Saccharomyces cerevisiae S288C: one gene and its partners. The gene in region 1 interacts genetically with each later gene. Each region holds a gene or a part of one and is shown on either strand. Other genes may lie near its edges.

What was found. Genes that interact genetically often act in the same process or in processes that back each other up.
Region 2: mutations in DDE1 (region 1) and EMP24 together harm fitness more than expected from each alone (negative genetic interaction), as found in Saccharomyces cerevisiae (2 studies listed by BioGRID).
Region 3: mutations in DDE1 (region 1) and PGA3 together harm fitness more than expected from each alone (negative genetic interaction), as found in Saccharomyces cerevisiae (2 studies listed by BioGRID).

Annotation. Positions count from the first base shown.
Region 1 is NC_001140.6:193,838-202,198, reverse strand, and holds DDE1 (Dde1p), read right to left. Parts: upstream 6,649-8,361; coding exon 4,966-6,648; downstream 1-4,965. Other genes in the region: AAP1 (arginine/alanine aminopeptidase), read left to right, coding at 889-3,459; inositol monophosphate 1-phosphatase INM1, read left to right, coding at 3,914-4,801; DOG1 (2-deoxyglucose-6-phosphatase), read left to right, coding at 7,391-8,131.
Region 2 is NC_001139.9:120,927-125,210, forward strand, and holds EMP24 (Emp24p), read right to left. Parts: upstream 2,380-4,284; coding exon 1,768-2,379; downstream 1-1,767. Other genes in the region: YIP4 (Yip4p), read left to right, coding at 2,665-3,372; MDS3 (Mds3p), read left to right, coding at 3,772-4,284. UniProt on the Saccharomyces cerevisiae protein: Constituent of COPII-coated endoplasmic reticulum-derived transport vesicles. Required for efficient transport of a subset of secretory proteins to the Golgi.
Region 3 is NC_001145.3:18,994-23,470, forward strand, and holds PGA3 (cytochrome-b5 reductase), read right to left. Parts: upstream 2,707-4,477; coding exon 1,768-2,706; downstream 1-1,767. Other genes in the region: ERG13 (hydroxymethylglutaryl-CoA synthase), read right to left, coding at 67-1,542; alpha-tubulin TUB3, read right to left, coding at 3,055-4,367. UniProt on the Saccharomyces cerevisiae protein: NADH-dependent cytochrome b5 reductase that reduces coenzyme Q6 at the plasma membrane and mediates lifespan extension by calorie restriction by shifting fermentative to respiratory metabolism, probably through modulating the NAD(+)/NADH ratio.

The DNA of each region.
Region 1 (8,361 bases):
CTTTAATTTGCTCAGTGATCATTGCTAGCCGGATATTTGTGTTTTTGTAGAACCCAGCCATACCTAATCATCTCAGTATATTATCTGAATTCTTGACTCAAAATATGGATTTTCTCGAACGTCTCACTTCCAATCATCCCATCAAATGCTGTGGATGAAAACATTTAAAACACGGGCAAGAAAAAATGAGTATAGTATAGTTGTGGCCAGTTCTTGTTGTACTAATGCACTTGCTTTCGTATCAAAGTTGAAGAAGCACTGAAAGAACAACAAAAAATTTATTAAAAGCAAAAATCATTCTACGTTCAACGAAAATGTAAGGCAAATATATCTTTATATAGGCAAGCATAACCGACGCTAACTTTGTTCGAGCTTCATCAACGTTATTAATATCGTAGTTATTCCGCTTTGTCTCAATAAGCTTTTGCTTACTTGAGAAAAAGAACGAAGTTTCTGTTTGAGATTTTCCTTCTCATTTTCTTTGAAATTTAAAGGAGAAATATTCAGCTCTATACATTCTTTGTTCGAGTATGTTACACATCACCTTACAATGGGAACATCCTATGATGACATACTTCTTCTCGATGATTTATTTTTTTTCTCAGCAAACGCTGTTTTCTAGGCGGTGAAAAACGGGAGTCTTCATCCCACATTTTTTGAACTCGTTGTGAAAGTTTTTTTTCGTACTCTTGGACTTGGCTGTGGGAGTTTGACACATTTTTTTATTTTTTTTCCGTTTTTTTCCCTTTTGTTAGCGATCAAACTTTTGACTTTATGAGTAATCTTAGCTAATCATTTAGAATTATCTTCAGGGAAGCTTATTCAATTCGTGATTTTTCTTTGAGGGTTCCTGTTCAAGCAAGCCAAATTGCCCTCTCAGCTAATACCATGTCCCGTGAAGTACTGCCAAACAACGTTACCCCATTGCATTATGACATTACACTAGAACCTAATTTCCGTGCTTTTACGTTTGAAGGGTCATTAAAAATTGACCTGCAGATTAATGATCATTCGATAAACTCTGTGCAAATAAATTACTTAGAAATAGATTTCCATTCTGCACGTATTGAGGGTGTCAATGCCATTGAAGTTAACAAAAACGAAAACCAACAAAAAGCTACTCTTGTCTTTCCTAATGGAACTTTTGAAAACCTAGGACCTTCTGCGAAGTTAGAAATTATCTTTTCCGGTATTCTAAATGATCAGATGGCGGGATTTTACAGGGCTAAGTATACGGATAAAGTCACAGGGGAGACGAAGTACATGGCTACTACTCAGATGGAAGCCACAGATGCTAGAAGAGCCTTTCCTTGTTTTGACGAACCAAATTTGAAGGCGACTTTTGCAGTAACTTTGGTCTCTGAATCGTTTCTGACTCATTTGTCCAACATGGATGTCAGGAATGAAACAATCAAAGAGGGTAAGAAATATACAACTTTTAACACGACTCCAAAGATGTCTACGTACTTAGTAGCATTTATTGTAGCTGACCTGAGATACGTGGAAAGCAATAATTTCCGTATTCCAGTAAGAGTTTATTCTACCCCAGGGGACGAAAAATTTGGTCAGTTTGCAGCCAATTTAGCTGCTAGGACCTTGAGATTCTTTGAGGACACCTTCAACATAGAATATCCATTGCCAAAGATGGATATGGTGGCAGTTCATGAGTTTTCTGCTGGTGCTATGGAAAACTGGGGGCTAGTGACTTATAGAGTTATTGATTTGTTATTAGACATAGAAAATTCGAGTTTAGATCGCATTCAAAGAGTTGCTGAGGTTATTCAGCATGAACTAGCCCACCAATGGTTCGGCAACTTGGTCACCATGGATTGGTGGGAAGGCTTATGGTTGAATGAAGGTTTTGCCACTTGGATGTCTTGGTACTCTTGCAACAAGTTTCAACCAGAATGGAAAGTTTGGGAGCAATATGTTACTGACAATTTACAACGTGCTCTAAATTTAGATTCATTAAGATCTTCCCATCCAATTGAAGTTCCCGTTAATAATGCGGACGAAATCAATCAAATTTTTGATGCTATTTCTTATTCTAAAGGATCTTCTTTATTGAGGATGATTTCCAAATGGTTGGGTGAAGAGACTTTTATTAAAGGTGTGTCCCAATACCTGAATAAATTCAAATACGGTAATGCAAAGACCGGAGATTTGTGGGACGCCTTAGCAGATGCCTCTGGCAAGGACGTTTGTTCGGTGATGAACATCTGGACAAAACGTGTTGGTTTTCCAGTGTTATCTGTCAAGGAACACAAGAACAAAATCACATTAACTCAACACCGTTATTTAAGTACCGGTGATGTTAAAGAAGAGGAAGATACAACCATATACCCCATTTTGTTAGCTTTGAAAGACAGTACAGGTATCGATAACACATTGGTATTGAACGAAAAATCTGCTACTTTCGAATTAAAGAATGAAGAGTTCTTCAAGATTAATGGTGACCAATCTGGTATTTTCATTACCTCTTATTCTGACGAAAGATGGGCTAAGCTATCCAAACAGGCAAATTTATTATCCGTAGAGGATCGTGTTGGCTTAGTCGCAGATGCAAAAGCCCTTTCTGCATCTGGCTATACCTCTACTACTAACTTCTTGAATTTAATTTCTAATTGGAAAAACGAGGATTCATTTGTTGTTTGGGAACAAATCATTAATAGTTTATCCGCTCTGAAATCTACTTGGGTCTTCGAACCAGAGGATATATTGAATGCTCTAGATAAATTTACTTTGGATCTAGTACTTAACAAACTTTCTGAATTGGGGTGGAATATTGGCGAAGACGACTCCTTTGCTATCCAACGTTTAAAAGTGACCCTTTTCAGTGCCGCATGCACTTCTGGCAATGAAAAAATGCAATCGATTGCGGTAGAAATGTTTGAGGAATACGCCAATGGGAACAAACAGGCCATACCTGCACTGTTCAAGGCAGTTGTTTTCAACACCGTTGCCAGACTTGGCGGAGAAAACAATTACGAAAAGATTTTCAACATCTATCAAAACCCTGTTTCGTCAGAAGAAAAGATTATCGCTTTGAGAGCTTTGGGCAGATTTGAAGACAAAGAACTTTTAGAAAGGACATTGTCTTATCTGCTAGATGGTACAGTTTTGAATCAAGATTTTTACATCCCAATGCAAGGCATTAGAGTTCATAAGAAGGGTATTGAAAGGTTATGGGCTTGGATGCAAGAACACTGGGACGAAATTGCTAAGAGATTACAGCCAGGCTCGCCTGTGTTGGGTGGCGTGTTGACATTGGGTTTAACTAATTTTACCTCTTTTGAAGCCCTTGAAAAAATTAGTGCGTTCTATAGTAGAAAGGTCACTAAAGGTTTTGATCAAACCCTGGCTCAAGCCTTAGACACTATTAGATCCAAGGCGCAATGGGTGAGCAGAGATCGTGAAATCGTTGCTACCTACTTGCGTGAGCATGAGTATGATCAATAGCTTTTTTTTTTCACGAGCACCTACAACACAAATATATACATATGCCAATGAGTCAAAACCACGTGTAATTAATAAAGAGATTACTACTTGCTTATGTAGAAATATAGTAGCTAGCAGAAAATGAATCTGATAACATCTTCATTGACACATTTCCAAGTATAGAGAACTTTCTTCTGCTTCCTTTCGGAAGAACTGAGTGAATATTGACTGGCGTGCGTCATAGCGAGATTTTTTCATCTGATGATGTATGGAAAAAAAAAAAAAACTTTTTTTTGAATAATGGATGCATCGAGTGACTTTCATTGTTGCGCACGTTGCTTTTCCAAAAATGGTATTAATATAGGTCTTTTATCTCTTACTTCACATTTAACTGCTTGTTAAATAACCCCAGTGTTTTCTTTTTTTTGGATGAATAAGGAAATCAACAGCTGGTACACGCATATACACATATACCATGACCATTGATCTAGCTTCTATCGAGAAATTCCTCTGTGAACTGGCTACTGAAAAAGTAGGACCAATCATCAAATCCAAGTCCGGCACTCAAAAGGATTATGACTTGAAGACTGGCTCCAGGAGCGTTGATATTGTAACTGCTATCGATAAACAGGTCGAAAAGTTAATTTGGGAATCGGTAAAAACCCAATATCCAACTTTCAAGTTTATTGGAGAGGAAAGTTATGTGAAAGGGGAGACCGTGATTACTGATGATCCTACCTTTATTATTGATCCAATTGATGGGACTACAAACTTTGTTCATGATTTCCCATTTAGCTGTACCTCTCTTGGGCTCACAGTAAACAAAGAGCCCGTAGTAGGCGTTATATATAATCCTCACATTAATCTTCTGGTATCCGCTTCTAAAGGAAATGGGATGAGAGTTAACAACAAGGACTATGACTATAAATCAAAATTGGAATCTATGGGTTCTCTAATACTAAATAAATCCGTAGTGGCATTACAGCCAGGTTCCGCTAGAGAGGGAAAGAATTTTCAGACAAAAATGGCCACATATGAAAAATTACTATCATGTGATTACGGTTTTGTTCATGGATTCAGAAATTTAGGATCATCTGCAATGACAATGGCATATATTGCTATGGGGTACCTTGATAGTTATTGGGATGGTGGTTGCTATTCGTGGGACGTGTGTGCTGGATGGTGTATTTTGAAAGAAGTGGGCGGTCGTGTAGTAGGTGCCAATCCAGGTGAATGGAGTATTGATGTCGACAATAGGACATATTTGGCTGTGAGGGGAACAATTAATAACGAAAGTGACGAACAAACAAAATATATCACAGACTTTTGGAACTGTGTTGATGGCCATTTGAAATATGACTGATCGTCAGCACATTAGGCCTAATATAAAATGTACGATTAAAATGACAGTTATTTGAATCATTTTAGCTGATCACAGGGATATAGAAGGTATTGGTAGTAATAATAATAATGATAATAATAATAATGATAATAATAAATAATAAATAATAAAGCGATAGATAATGCTCATTGATTATAGATGTATAAGCAACCGTCTTGGCCAAATAGTCCAAAAACGCCAACTAGAGGCATCCATCCTTCACCTCCTCCAAACCTTTCAGCTAAATGCAAAGCTTTCTCTAAACGATCGGACTCTACTGGTTTACCTATGCTAAAACCACGAATACATAACATACCCTGCTTCTTCTCTATGTTCAAATGAGGGTTTGTTTCCGTTTCTACCATTTTTCCTTCTAATGTTGTACTTAGTGTTCCATAACATACAACGTTATCGTCCACAGATTTTCCAAAAACCCTATAGTCATAAAAATTGGTATGTGCCACAGGTCCCATGATAGCGTAGGGACAATATAACTCGAGGACTACACGGGATCCTAATTGAGCTCTTATTTTATTCAATTGTTCAGTGCTTGGGGTGATTCTTCGGTTAGTCTTTTTTAGCTGAGGAATTTTTTCAGGAAATGTCGAAATAACCTCAGCATCTTTCACATTATCTGCCAAATAAACACATCTTAATTTTTCAAGAGAATGTGGCTCGATTCTGGCAATTTTCGTAAAAATACCCTCGCTCAGTAAGTTCGTGGCCCAGGATAAGTAGATTTTATTCAGCAGCCCACTTCTAGAATTAGAATCAATTAATTTGACAACATCCTTTGTTTCGGTAAACAGTAACGTAGTTTCTTGCAACGACTCGCAATCTATCGTTGTAGGATTGATGAAAGATGCAGACCCACCATGCAGCAAAACTGCAAAAAGCTTTCCCCAAATTTGTAGGCTTGCACTAGAATTTGCCAATTTTGTCGAAATGGTTAGGTATTCATTACTATTCAATTCATTTCCCAAGGGGAACCCTTTGATGAATTCCGCTATATTACTCACCAGACAGATTTGATTAAAACTATTAGTTCCATTCCATGGTGAAGTTACGTATGCAAAAAGTTTCTTATCATCAGAGTTGTCATCTGGCGGGGTGTATTGGTACTCTGTATCCTTGGTAAAACCGTCGATAAGTTCTTTCCAAGTGATAACATCACAGTTCGCATCAAATTGTAGTGATTCGATAGGATCATCGCAAACAACAATAAGCTTGTACCAATCCTCGCTGCCGTTTAGCATCTTAAAAGACTTCCATGAGTCGATGATCAGGACATCAACATCTTCTAGTCGTTGTCTAGGAACAGCTGGCAAGAAATGAGGTATTGAACCTGTTCTTATAGAGGTCATCATGGAAGCCAAGGAGAGAGTAAAACCCTCTACGGTAGCAATAGAATTAGCTATACCGATATTTTTGAAATTCTTATTGGAAAGTTTCGGAAATATGCGCTTGGCCATACCATTAAGTTCACTCAACGAATAACTTTTTTCTCTTCCTGTAAATTTAATTATGTTTTTTCCCTTGGAAACTTCCATTATGGCATTCCAAACATCACCGAAATTGCCATTTCTTATTTTGTATTTTAAAGATAGCCCTAATCCTGTCGTCAATGGGAATCCTGTGGGCACTAAAATGCTTCGATAATATGCTGTTTCATTTTCTTTACGAACACTGGATATGCTAGATTGCTGTGACAAAGCCACCCCTGTTAAATCTCTCTTAAAATCAAGTAGAAAAGAGCTTAGCAACCAGTTGGCGCCCAGCACAATTAACAATATTGTTATTACCAGCTGTAGTAGAAAAGACCAATTCATTGCTCATCAACTTTTGCCGCTTGTTTAACTGTCTTTCTTTCTAACGAAAGAACTTTCTATAGCTTAATTGAAAAGCACTTGAAATGCTTAAAACTTAACCTATGTTGAAGCTATAAAGGTGTTGCAGAATGATTTCCATTCAATGTACTTCTCGAAGTTGCTGTCGTTTATGATACGATACATATTAGAACTTTTTCATTCTTAACGACGCGCAAAGAAAAACGAAAAGCTAATGACCAAACCAAGGGTCCTAGGATTCTCATTAACATCAATTCAAGGCAATCAGTTACAATATTTATAATAAAGTAATTCGTGCTATGTATCCTTTTGCCAAGTAACTTGCCAGAAATTCCGTTTATCTACTTCATCTTATCGGTGAAAAAATATACACTGGGCTCTTCTACACACGCCTTCTACCGCATATCCTTTAGAGTCTTGGCTTCTTGTAATTTTCAATCACGGTTATGTTCCGTGATACAGACACGTCAGAGTATTCCTATATATTCCGACATTAACCCCGACATTTCAAACAACCGTTGTTCAGCTATAGAAGGAAGCGTATATCTATGAGATTATAGGCTCTGGTACCATCTAATGATATAAATTTCATGGAACTTTTTTATTGCAAGTATTTTATTTAATTTTATTTTCATTTTTAATGATCGCGATTATTCTGTTGGAAATAACGTTCTGATGGAGATTGTTGGTTACGTTGCCACTCACGTAAGAAGTTCAAAGGATAATGGCAGAATTTTCAGCTGATCTATGTCTTTTTGACCTAGATGGTACCATAGTGAGTACAACAGTGGCCGCAGAGAAAGCATGGACCAAGTTGTGTTACGAATACGGTGTTGATCCTTCCGAGTTATTTAAGCATTCTCATGGTGCAAGAACACAAGAGGTTTTGAGAAGGTTTTTCCCTAAATTGGATGATACAGACAATAAAGGTGTTCTTGCTCTAGAAAAAGATATTGCCCATAGTTACTTGGACACAGTAAGCCTTATTCCTGGTGCAGAGAACTTACTGTTATCGTTAGATGTAGATACTGAGACTCAAAAAAAGTTACCTGAAAGGAAATGGGCTATCGTTACCTCTGGTTCTCCATATTTGGCATTTTCATGGTTCGAGACAATATTGAAAAATGTTGGAAAGCCCAAAGTTTTCATTACTGGGTTTGACGTGAAGAACGGTAAGCCTGATCCCGAGGGTTATTCAAGAGCTCGTGATTTATTGCGTCAAGATTTGCAATTAACTGGTAAACAGGATCTGAAGTATGTTGTCTTCGAAGATGCACCCGTGGGCATAAAGGCCGGCAAAGCAATGGGCGCCATTACTGTGGGTATAACATCCTCGTATGACAAGAGCGTTTTATTTGACGCAGGAGCAGATTATGTAGTCTGTGATTTGACACAGGTTTCCGTGGTTAAGAACAATGAAAACGGTATTGTCATCCAGGTAAACAACCCTTTGACAAGGGCCTGAGTAAACAAAAATGTGACAAAAGAACGAATATATATAGATGTAAAACATATGGACAAGCAAAAAGTCGAATTATGTATGTCATTTTAGGTACTGAAGAGGTAAGATTTTTTTTGAGTTTTTCTTCGAAGATGGTTGTGTGGTTATATGTTAATCTTCCTTAGCGCAAAACACTTCCATCAACTGTATTTCGTTGGAATGCTTTGTATTCAGTTTTGTATCATTATCTTTAA
Region 2 (4,284 bases), on another chromosome or scaffold:
CCTTTGGTAAGTCTATTTTTCCTATCCACCGGTGGCGAAGTGTAAGATACTCGCTGTAAATCACTTAAGAATGAAATATTTTGTTATTATTGTAGATTAAAGAAAGAAAAAAAAAAAGCTTCAAGAAAGGCCTATTAGGCGCTTTTCCTAAAAAGGAAATTTAATAGACGAACTTAGATGACAATACCAAATAGCGAAGGAACGGCAAAAGAATAGGTACACAAATGTTATGAGAACTGGAATCAAAACAAGCTATTGTTTGTCGACGAATAGTAATGTTACTAGTATATTATGTGCGGTGATAATATGATATAAATCGCGAAAAGGGTAAACCCAGTAAAAACTGAAATGCAAGATAAATAACGTAATGGGGTGATGTATGATATCGTATAAAACACAAGAAAGGATAACAGCACTATCATGCAAAATTGCTTATTTCTGGTATATTCTGGATTCCGAATGACACTTCCCTTACTGGAAAATCGAATTCAAGTGACCATTTAAATGGTCACCTATTTCTCAGGATGACCGCTAATTCTTCTCATCAGGGTTTCCCAAGTTGTTAGCAAACTGTATTGATATCTTTTTGCGGGAGTGAAACCAACTATTCAGCTCAGTATCGGATTAATCTCTCCACTTAATGCTACGGAGTTCTTCCAAACATTAGTACTGGTGCCAGTATCAGCACCACATCAACAGGTGAACTCAAAATTACATTAGTCAGGAGCAGTACACCCGTTAATCGTGGGAATCTCTGTACTGAGGGTCAACTACGTATCGCGGAACTAGGGGTCCACTAGTGTATGCGACTGCGATTCATATAACACTTTAACGTCAAAACCGTATACAGTCCTCATCCGCCTTGGGGGCCAGCATATTATATATAAAAACTCCTGAAAAACACTTACCCAGAGGTACGATAATGAATGACGCTTATGTGATTTATGGTTAACGCAGTACCCAAGACAAGTATGCAGCGTTAACTCCCAATCAAAGAAAATATAGTGGATTCTAATCTGACGAACTACGGACAGTAATTGGTATTTTTACTCATTAGTGACTTTGGTAATGCCCTATATTTCACTAGAAGGTGTCACAGTGTCACAAATTTTACATCACAGTTCCCTTTCGTAAGATCAAGAATATGGCTGACTATAGTGGACATCTTCTTACACCGTATATAGTAATATATTGCTAATATGAGCACTAGTTGATTCTTGTTCCAACAGTATATTCCAAACATGTGTTAATCACGCGTTGATACAATGTGGCTCGGCTACAAATCAGTTATTAACATCGTGAGCTATGTTTCCCTGAAATGGGGACGTTTTCCAACGAATTAGCCTTGTTGGCGCAATCGGTAGCGCGTATGACTCTTAATCATAAGGTTAGGGGTTCGAGCCCCCTACAGGGCTATTCTTTTTTTGTTCTATATGAACAGAGCTATTTCCCTTCTAAGAGTCCCACATAAAAGTGCTCTGGGGAAAAACGGACCACAGCATGTCCTGTGGTACTTGTTTCTTTCAAGTTTTTCGTATGTATTTCCCATTTTTTGATTCGCTACAACCTGTATTTGTTTTATGGCGCGCCTGGACCATATATATGTATATATTTATTTACATGTAATTGGCACAGGGAAAAACAGTGGAAGGATCAAGGTAAAAAGTATGAAACCGAGAATTATTCGCGACTTCAGGTTATCCAATCGTGTATGTAATCGTATGTAGGCAAAAGTAAATAGATATGAACTACATTTTCCTGCTTTACTTAGACTAGAGATGTGACCTCAAAGAATCTTCTCAAGTAGTATATCTGGAAAAGAGAGTTTGCAATAACGACGCCCAATTGGAAGATGGACCACCATTTAACACGATCGTTGGTCGACTCTGCAGTATTTCTATGCGTCCTTTCTCTAATAACAATATAACTTTGTTCGTCCTTGACTTCCCTGGTTAATTTGGACAACTTTCTGACAGCACTATCCAATGTATTGGTGTTTGGGTCGTCCAAATCCACATATACCACCCCATGAATGTTGAAAGTCACGTCTTTTGTCTCGATACCGGTGTTCTCGTTCAAGAAACAGTATTGGAAATGTCCCTTGTATGGAGCAGACAATGTGATTTCACCGTGCGACGTGTCCCTAACCGTTTTCAAAACTTCATGTCTTTCCGGCCCGTAGATGATAAAGTCACCAGTCAGCTGGCTACTGGATTGAGGGTTTCTATCACCGAACTGGAACGAAATGGAGAGCTCGTCACCCTTACTCAAGTCTTCGAAGAAGCATCTACGGCCATAAGCTGGAAGAAGGACATTATGGGCGGACGCCGAGAAGAACAGGAAGCAAGCAATGACAAACTTAGTAGCAAATGAGGCCATCCTTATGCGTGTGTATTTTTGTGCGGAGGGATACTATTAAGATTGCAGTTTCACCAAGTATAGCTTTTTATTTCATTATAAGTTTCGTGTCAAAATGTTTAAGCGACCCGATCTCTCAGGCTGTTTTGCACGACTTTTCTGACTTTCCTCGCGTCTTTTTTCATGAAAATTGGATTACCCGGAGTGATGATTTTCTCACAGTGATTTTTCGTCCCCTTTTACAATAGCAAATGAAGCTGTTTTAGCAATATTTGTAGAAAGATATGTCACAAGAGGGCAGGCAAAATGTCATACGGAAGAGAAGACACTACGATTGAGCCCGACTTCATAGAACCAGATGCACCTTTGGCTGCTTCCGGGGGTGTTGCTGACAACATAGGCGGAACTATGCAGAATTCAGGCAGCAGAGGGACGCTCGACGAGACTGTGCTGCAAACACTAAAGCGAGATGTGGTGGAGATTAATTCCAGACTGAAACAAGTGGTATACCCGCATTTCCCCTCATTCTTTAGCCCCTCTGATGACGGGATAGGGGCGGCTGATAACGACATTTCAGCCAATTGCGACCTGTGGGCGCCCCTTGCGTTTATCATATTGTATTCTCTATTTGTATCGCATGCGCGGTCGCTGTTCTCGAGCCTATTTGTGTCTAGTTGGTTCATTTTGCTGGTGATGGCATTGCATCTGAGACTCACCAAGCCACACCAGAGGGTGTCGCTGATTTCGTACATCTCCATTTCCGGGTATTGCTTATTCCCACAAGTGCTGAATGCCTTAGTCTCGCAGATACTACTTCCATTGGCCTACCATATTGGAAAGCAAAATCGCTGGATTGTGAGGGTCCTGTCGCTCGTGAAACTGGTGGTCATGGCGCTGTGCCTGATGTGGTCTGTGGCCGCCGTTTCGTGGGTTACCAAGAGCAAGACCATTATCGAGATATACCCTCTGGCACTCTGTCTTTTTGGCATGGCCTGGTTGTCAACTATTTTATAACACTAGTTACATATGTATAAAACCCAATATCATGGACATAGAATTGCCTATCTCGCGAGCCACGGCAGAAAGTTCTGAAAAAAAAAAAAAAGAGGACGCTCACAGGGGCTGGCGTGTGGCTAAGGCAGACTCCGTGGAGTGTAAGAGAAGTTCAAAGCAAGATTAGGCTTTCTGATGAATTGGTAGCGCAGAGTCTGGCAAAGTCTATTTCAAGTTCACAGCGTCCGTTTACCACAATTGTTTGAGAACTCTTCTCCTTCCTGTGCCTATAGCCACACTTGCAAACATTACATGGTGAAGGCGCTTTAGAGACTTTTCTGTTTTACTATATATATAAGATAACATAGCGCGCGTGCAAACCAAAGGACAAGTAACAATCTGCACCTGCTTTAGCGTAGTATGCCTTTATTACAACCATCCACTTGCTTCTGCTACCCTTTGAAGCTTCCGCCATTACCACTGACTTCCGATTCCAACGAGTTTGATGAATGCGCCAGGAAAAGGTTAACGCTGGACTATAGAACAGGTTCAGCGGTGACGCTAACAAGGTCTAATATATTTGTACATGGTGGTCTAACCATCCCGTTGAACCTGCCAGTTGTAAATTCTATGCAATTACAAAAGGAGCTTATTCTCTTTTTTGCAAAGGAAAAAAACAACGGTAGTTCTTTTAGGAATTTAAACGAGTGGATAAGTAAGGAGACGTTTTTCTTAGACTTGATGTCTAGAACCTGGTACAGAGTCAAGACCTCCTTTGACCAAAGGACAGAGGAATTATTAAAGGCAGAGAGTTCTAGCGCCAAAGCAGATAATGACACAAACGAGATTAGAACGGACATTAAGAAAGGTAAATCCCTTGAATCTCCGCTCAAGGAGAGGCTATTCCATTCCTTATGTTATTTAGATGGCTGT
Region 3 (4,477 bases), on another chromosome or scaffold:
GCAGGCTGCCAAAAAAATAAAGCATTTATGAAGGGGGTTCAGCAAGATGCAATCGATGGGGGAAGATTATTTTTTAACATCGTAAGATCTTCTAAATTTGTCATCGATGTTGGTCAAGTAGTAAACACCACTTTGCAAATGCTCAATGGAACCTTGAGGTTTGAAGTTCTTCTTCAAATGGGCATTTTCTCTCAATTCGATGGCAGCTTCGTAATCCTTTGGAGTTTCGGTGATTCTCTTGGCTAATTTGTTAGTAATATCTAATTCCTTGATAATATGTTGGACGTCACCAACAATTTTGCAAGAATATAGAGATGCAGCTAAACCGGAACCGTAAGAAAATAAACCAACACGCTTGCCTTGTAAGTCGTCAGATCCAACATAGTTTAATAGAGATGCAAAGGCGGCATAAACAGATGCGGTGTACATGTTACCTGTGTTTGTTGGAACAATCAAAGATTGGGCAACTCTCTCTTTGTGGAATGGCTTAGCAACATTAACAAAAGTTTTTTCAATGTTCTTATCGGTTAAAGATTCGTCATAATCGCGAGTAGCTAATTCGGCGTCAACTTCTGGGAACAATTGAGGATTGGCTCTGAAATCGTTATATAGTAATCTACCGTATGATTTTGTGACCAATTTACAGGTTGGAACATGGAAAACGTTGTAGTCGAAATATTTCAAAACGTTCAAAGCATCCGAACCAGCGGGATCGCTAACCAACCCTTTAGAAATAGCCTTCTTGGAATAACTCTTGTAAACTTGATCAAGAGCCTTGACGTAACAAGTTAATGAAAAATGACCATCGACGTAAGGATATTCGCTGGTGAAATCTGGCTTGTAAAAATCGTAGGCGTGTTCCATGTAAGAAGCTCTTACAGAGTCAAATACAATTGGAGCATCAGGACCGATCCACATAGCAACAGTACCGGCACCACCGGTTGGTCTTGCGGCACCCTTATCGTAGATGGCAATATCACCGCAAACTACAATGGCGTCTCTACCATCCCATGCGTTAGATTCAATCCAGTTCAAAGAGTTGAACAACGCGTTGGTACCACCGTAACAGGCATTAAGCGTGTCAATACCTTCGACGTCAGTGTTTTCACCAAACAATTGCATCAAGACAGACTTGACAGACTTGGACTTGTCAATCAGAGTTTCAGTACCGACTTCTAATCTACCAATTTTGTTGGTGTCGATGTTGTAACTCTTGATCAACTTAGACAAAACAGTTAGGGACATCGAGTAGATATCTTCTCTGTCATTGACAAAAGACATGTTGGTTTGGCCCAGACCAATTGTGTATTTACCTTGAGAAACGCCATCAAATTTCTCTAGCTCAGATTGGTTGACACATTGAGTTGGGATGTAAATTTGGATACCTTTAATACCGACATTTTGAGGTCTGGTTTTTTGTTCAGCGGTCTTTTGTTTTTTTAGTTCAGTCATTTGCAAGTTTGTATTGTGTAATTGTTGTTGCTTTTGCGGCCTAAGTCTTCCTTTAATACCACACCAACAAAGTTTAGTTGAGAGTTTCATGCTGCACCTTTTATAGTAATTTGGCTACGAAAATTGGCGAGGCACCCAAACAGTTCCGCCCGATGAGGCCGAATGGAGCCTACTTTCAACACACTCGTATAATTAATAGCCCGGTTCATTTTCGACACGATACCGCAGCCATGGAGATTGTGGGTATGATTACTCTATAGTATTATGTAATATTGTATGGAAAATTTTTCTATTGTATATACGAAGCTTATTCCGTTAAAAGACGAAGACTTGATCGTCGCCAGAACTTCTCGTTGAATTGACCTTCCAGCCCAGTTCTTTAGCGTATTGAAGGGCCAAGTTGTTCATTCCATCAGGTCCACAGATCAAGAGTCTGTTATCCTCCGAATATTCCGGCAGATACCTGTTCATCTGGTCCTTGGTGATGTAGCCGACATCTCCGGTCCATCTGTCGGATGGATAGTGTACCACGTAATGGACCTGGAAATGTGGGTATTTTTCGGCCATCTCATCCAGTTCGTCCTTCAATAGAATGTCATTTTCAGTCTCATTGGCATATAGCAGGGAGACTTTCGTCAAATCTTCAGGAACGGTGATGATTTCATTCAAGATCTGTAGGACTGGCGTGATACCAGAACCACCGGCTACGATACCTAAATGCTTGGAGGAATTTGGTTCGTAGTTCAAAGTACCTATTGGCCCCTTGAAATCCACGGTGTCACCAGAATTTAAGCCAGCGAAATATTTGGAGACTTTACCATCAACGTATGCTTTCACCACCAAATCCAAGTATCCACTTTCTAGTTTAGAACTGATCGGATTATAGTATCTGACCTCTTGTTTGCCGTCAATTGGAACGCGTACAGCAACATGATGACCAGCGGGAATGTCCAAGCTTTCCAGTCTTGTCTTCAACTTAAAACGATACAGGGCGGTATTCTTGGAAATTATGGTTTGATCTTCCAATTCTAACGAAGTCCACCTATCTGGATACAGTGATCTTCTTCTTTTGTAGGCAGAGTATGCTCTGACGAAGATGATCATGAAGAGAATGGGTAAACTCCACAGGATTTTCAATTCACCAGACATATACGTGGTGATTGCAACACCAACAACGAATAGCGCGGCAGGAATATAGATCCCGTGGACAGGTTCGTCTAGAATGTTAGTTCCTTCTATGTCTTCTTTTGACATTTTCTTCACGCGGTTCTTGGAGTGCTTCCTTTTTTGTGATAAGTTTGGGTGGCAACGAGATGAGCTCAAAACTCTTTGTTTTTTATGGGTATTTTTGTCTTAGAATATTTTCAAATTTTTCAATATTCCGCGGAACATAGGGAAAAAAATAAATTTAATAAGCTATTGTTCTAACTGTACACCTAAAGGTAAGTGAAAAATAATTCGATAATTAGAGGTATCTTTATTTGGATAGAATATGCATATATATATATAAGCGTATATATATATATATATATATATGTATATACATATGGACATTAAGTAAATATAAATCTATAAGTGGGTATCGGGATCAGAGCCACTTTCTTAGAACTCCTCAGCGTAAGAATCGGCACCCACTTCAATATAATCTCTTTCTAAGGCAGCTAAATCTTCTCTAGCTTCGGTGAACTCACCTTCTTCCATACCTTCACCGACATACCAATGGACGAAAGCACGTTTGGCATACATCAGGTCGAATTTCTGATCGATTCTCTTCCAAGCGTCCGCGATGGCAGTGGTGTTGGATAGCATGCAGACAGCTCTATCCACATTGGCTAATTCGGAACTTGGTATCACACTTGGTGGCTCATAACAAATACCAATCTTAAATCCTGTTGGACACCAATCCACCATTTGTACTGTTTTTTTATTCTTCACCTGTTCGACGGCTCTTTGGACATCTCTGGTCACCACGTCACCTCTGTATAACAAACAGTTAGCCATGTACTTCCCCTTTGTTGGGTCACACTTAACCATTTGATTGCCCGGTTCGAAACAAGCGTTTGTGATTTCTGACACGGAGTTGGATTCATGGGTGGCCCTCTTCTTGGACAAGATGGGTGCGTAGGAAACCAAAGGGAAATGAATTCTTGGATATGGTACCAAGTTGGTCTGAAATTCGTTCAAATCCACGTTTAATGAACCATCGAACCTCAAAGAGGCTGTAACAGATGATATCACTTGGGCAATCAACCCGTTCAAGTTGCTGAAGCTTGGTCTAGAAATTCCCAAGTTCCTCTTGCATATATCGTAAATGGCTTCGTTATCGACCATAAACGTACAGTCTGCGTGTTCCAGGGTGGTATGCGTGGTTAAAACCGTGTTGTAAGGTTCCACGACGGAAGTAGACAATTGAGGCGCAGGATAAACGGCGAATTCCAATTTGGATTTCTTCCCGTATTCATACGATAAGTTTTCTAATAACAGGGAACCTAAACCGGAACCAGTTCCACCACCGAGGGAGTGGGTGAACAAGAACCCTTGTAAACCGTCACATTGGTCGGCCATCTTTCTAATTCTTTCTTCAACTTCATCCACTATTTCTCTACCCACTGTATAATGGCCTCTTGCGTAGTTATTGGCGGCATCTTCCTTACCGTTAATCAATTGTTCTGGATGGAAAAGCTCCTTGAAACGTCCTGTACGTACTTCATCGATAACATTGGGCTCTAAATCCACGTAGATTGCTCTTGGGACGAATTTTCCGTACCCCGTTTCATGGAAGAATGTAGAAAATCCTTCTTCACCTCCCTTAGGTTTTGACAAGCCATCCTCCAAATGGCCGTCTTCCTTGATGCCATGCTCTAGGGAGTACAATTCCCAGCATGCATTACCTATTTGACAACCTGCTTGACCAACTGTTGTAAAAAAGAAAAATAACAAAAGTTCCAGCAATCCTCCGAAGAAGAAGACACAAAAATCACTCCCCATGTAATGAGGTCAATTATGAGCTTTTTCGTCCGAGTAT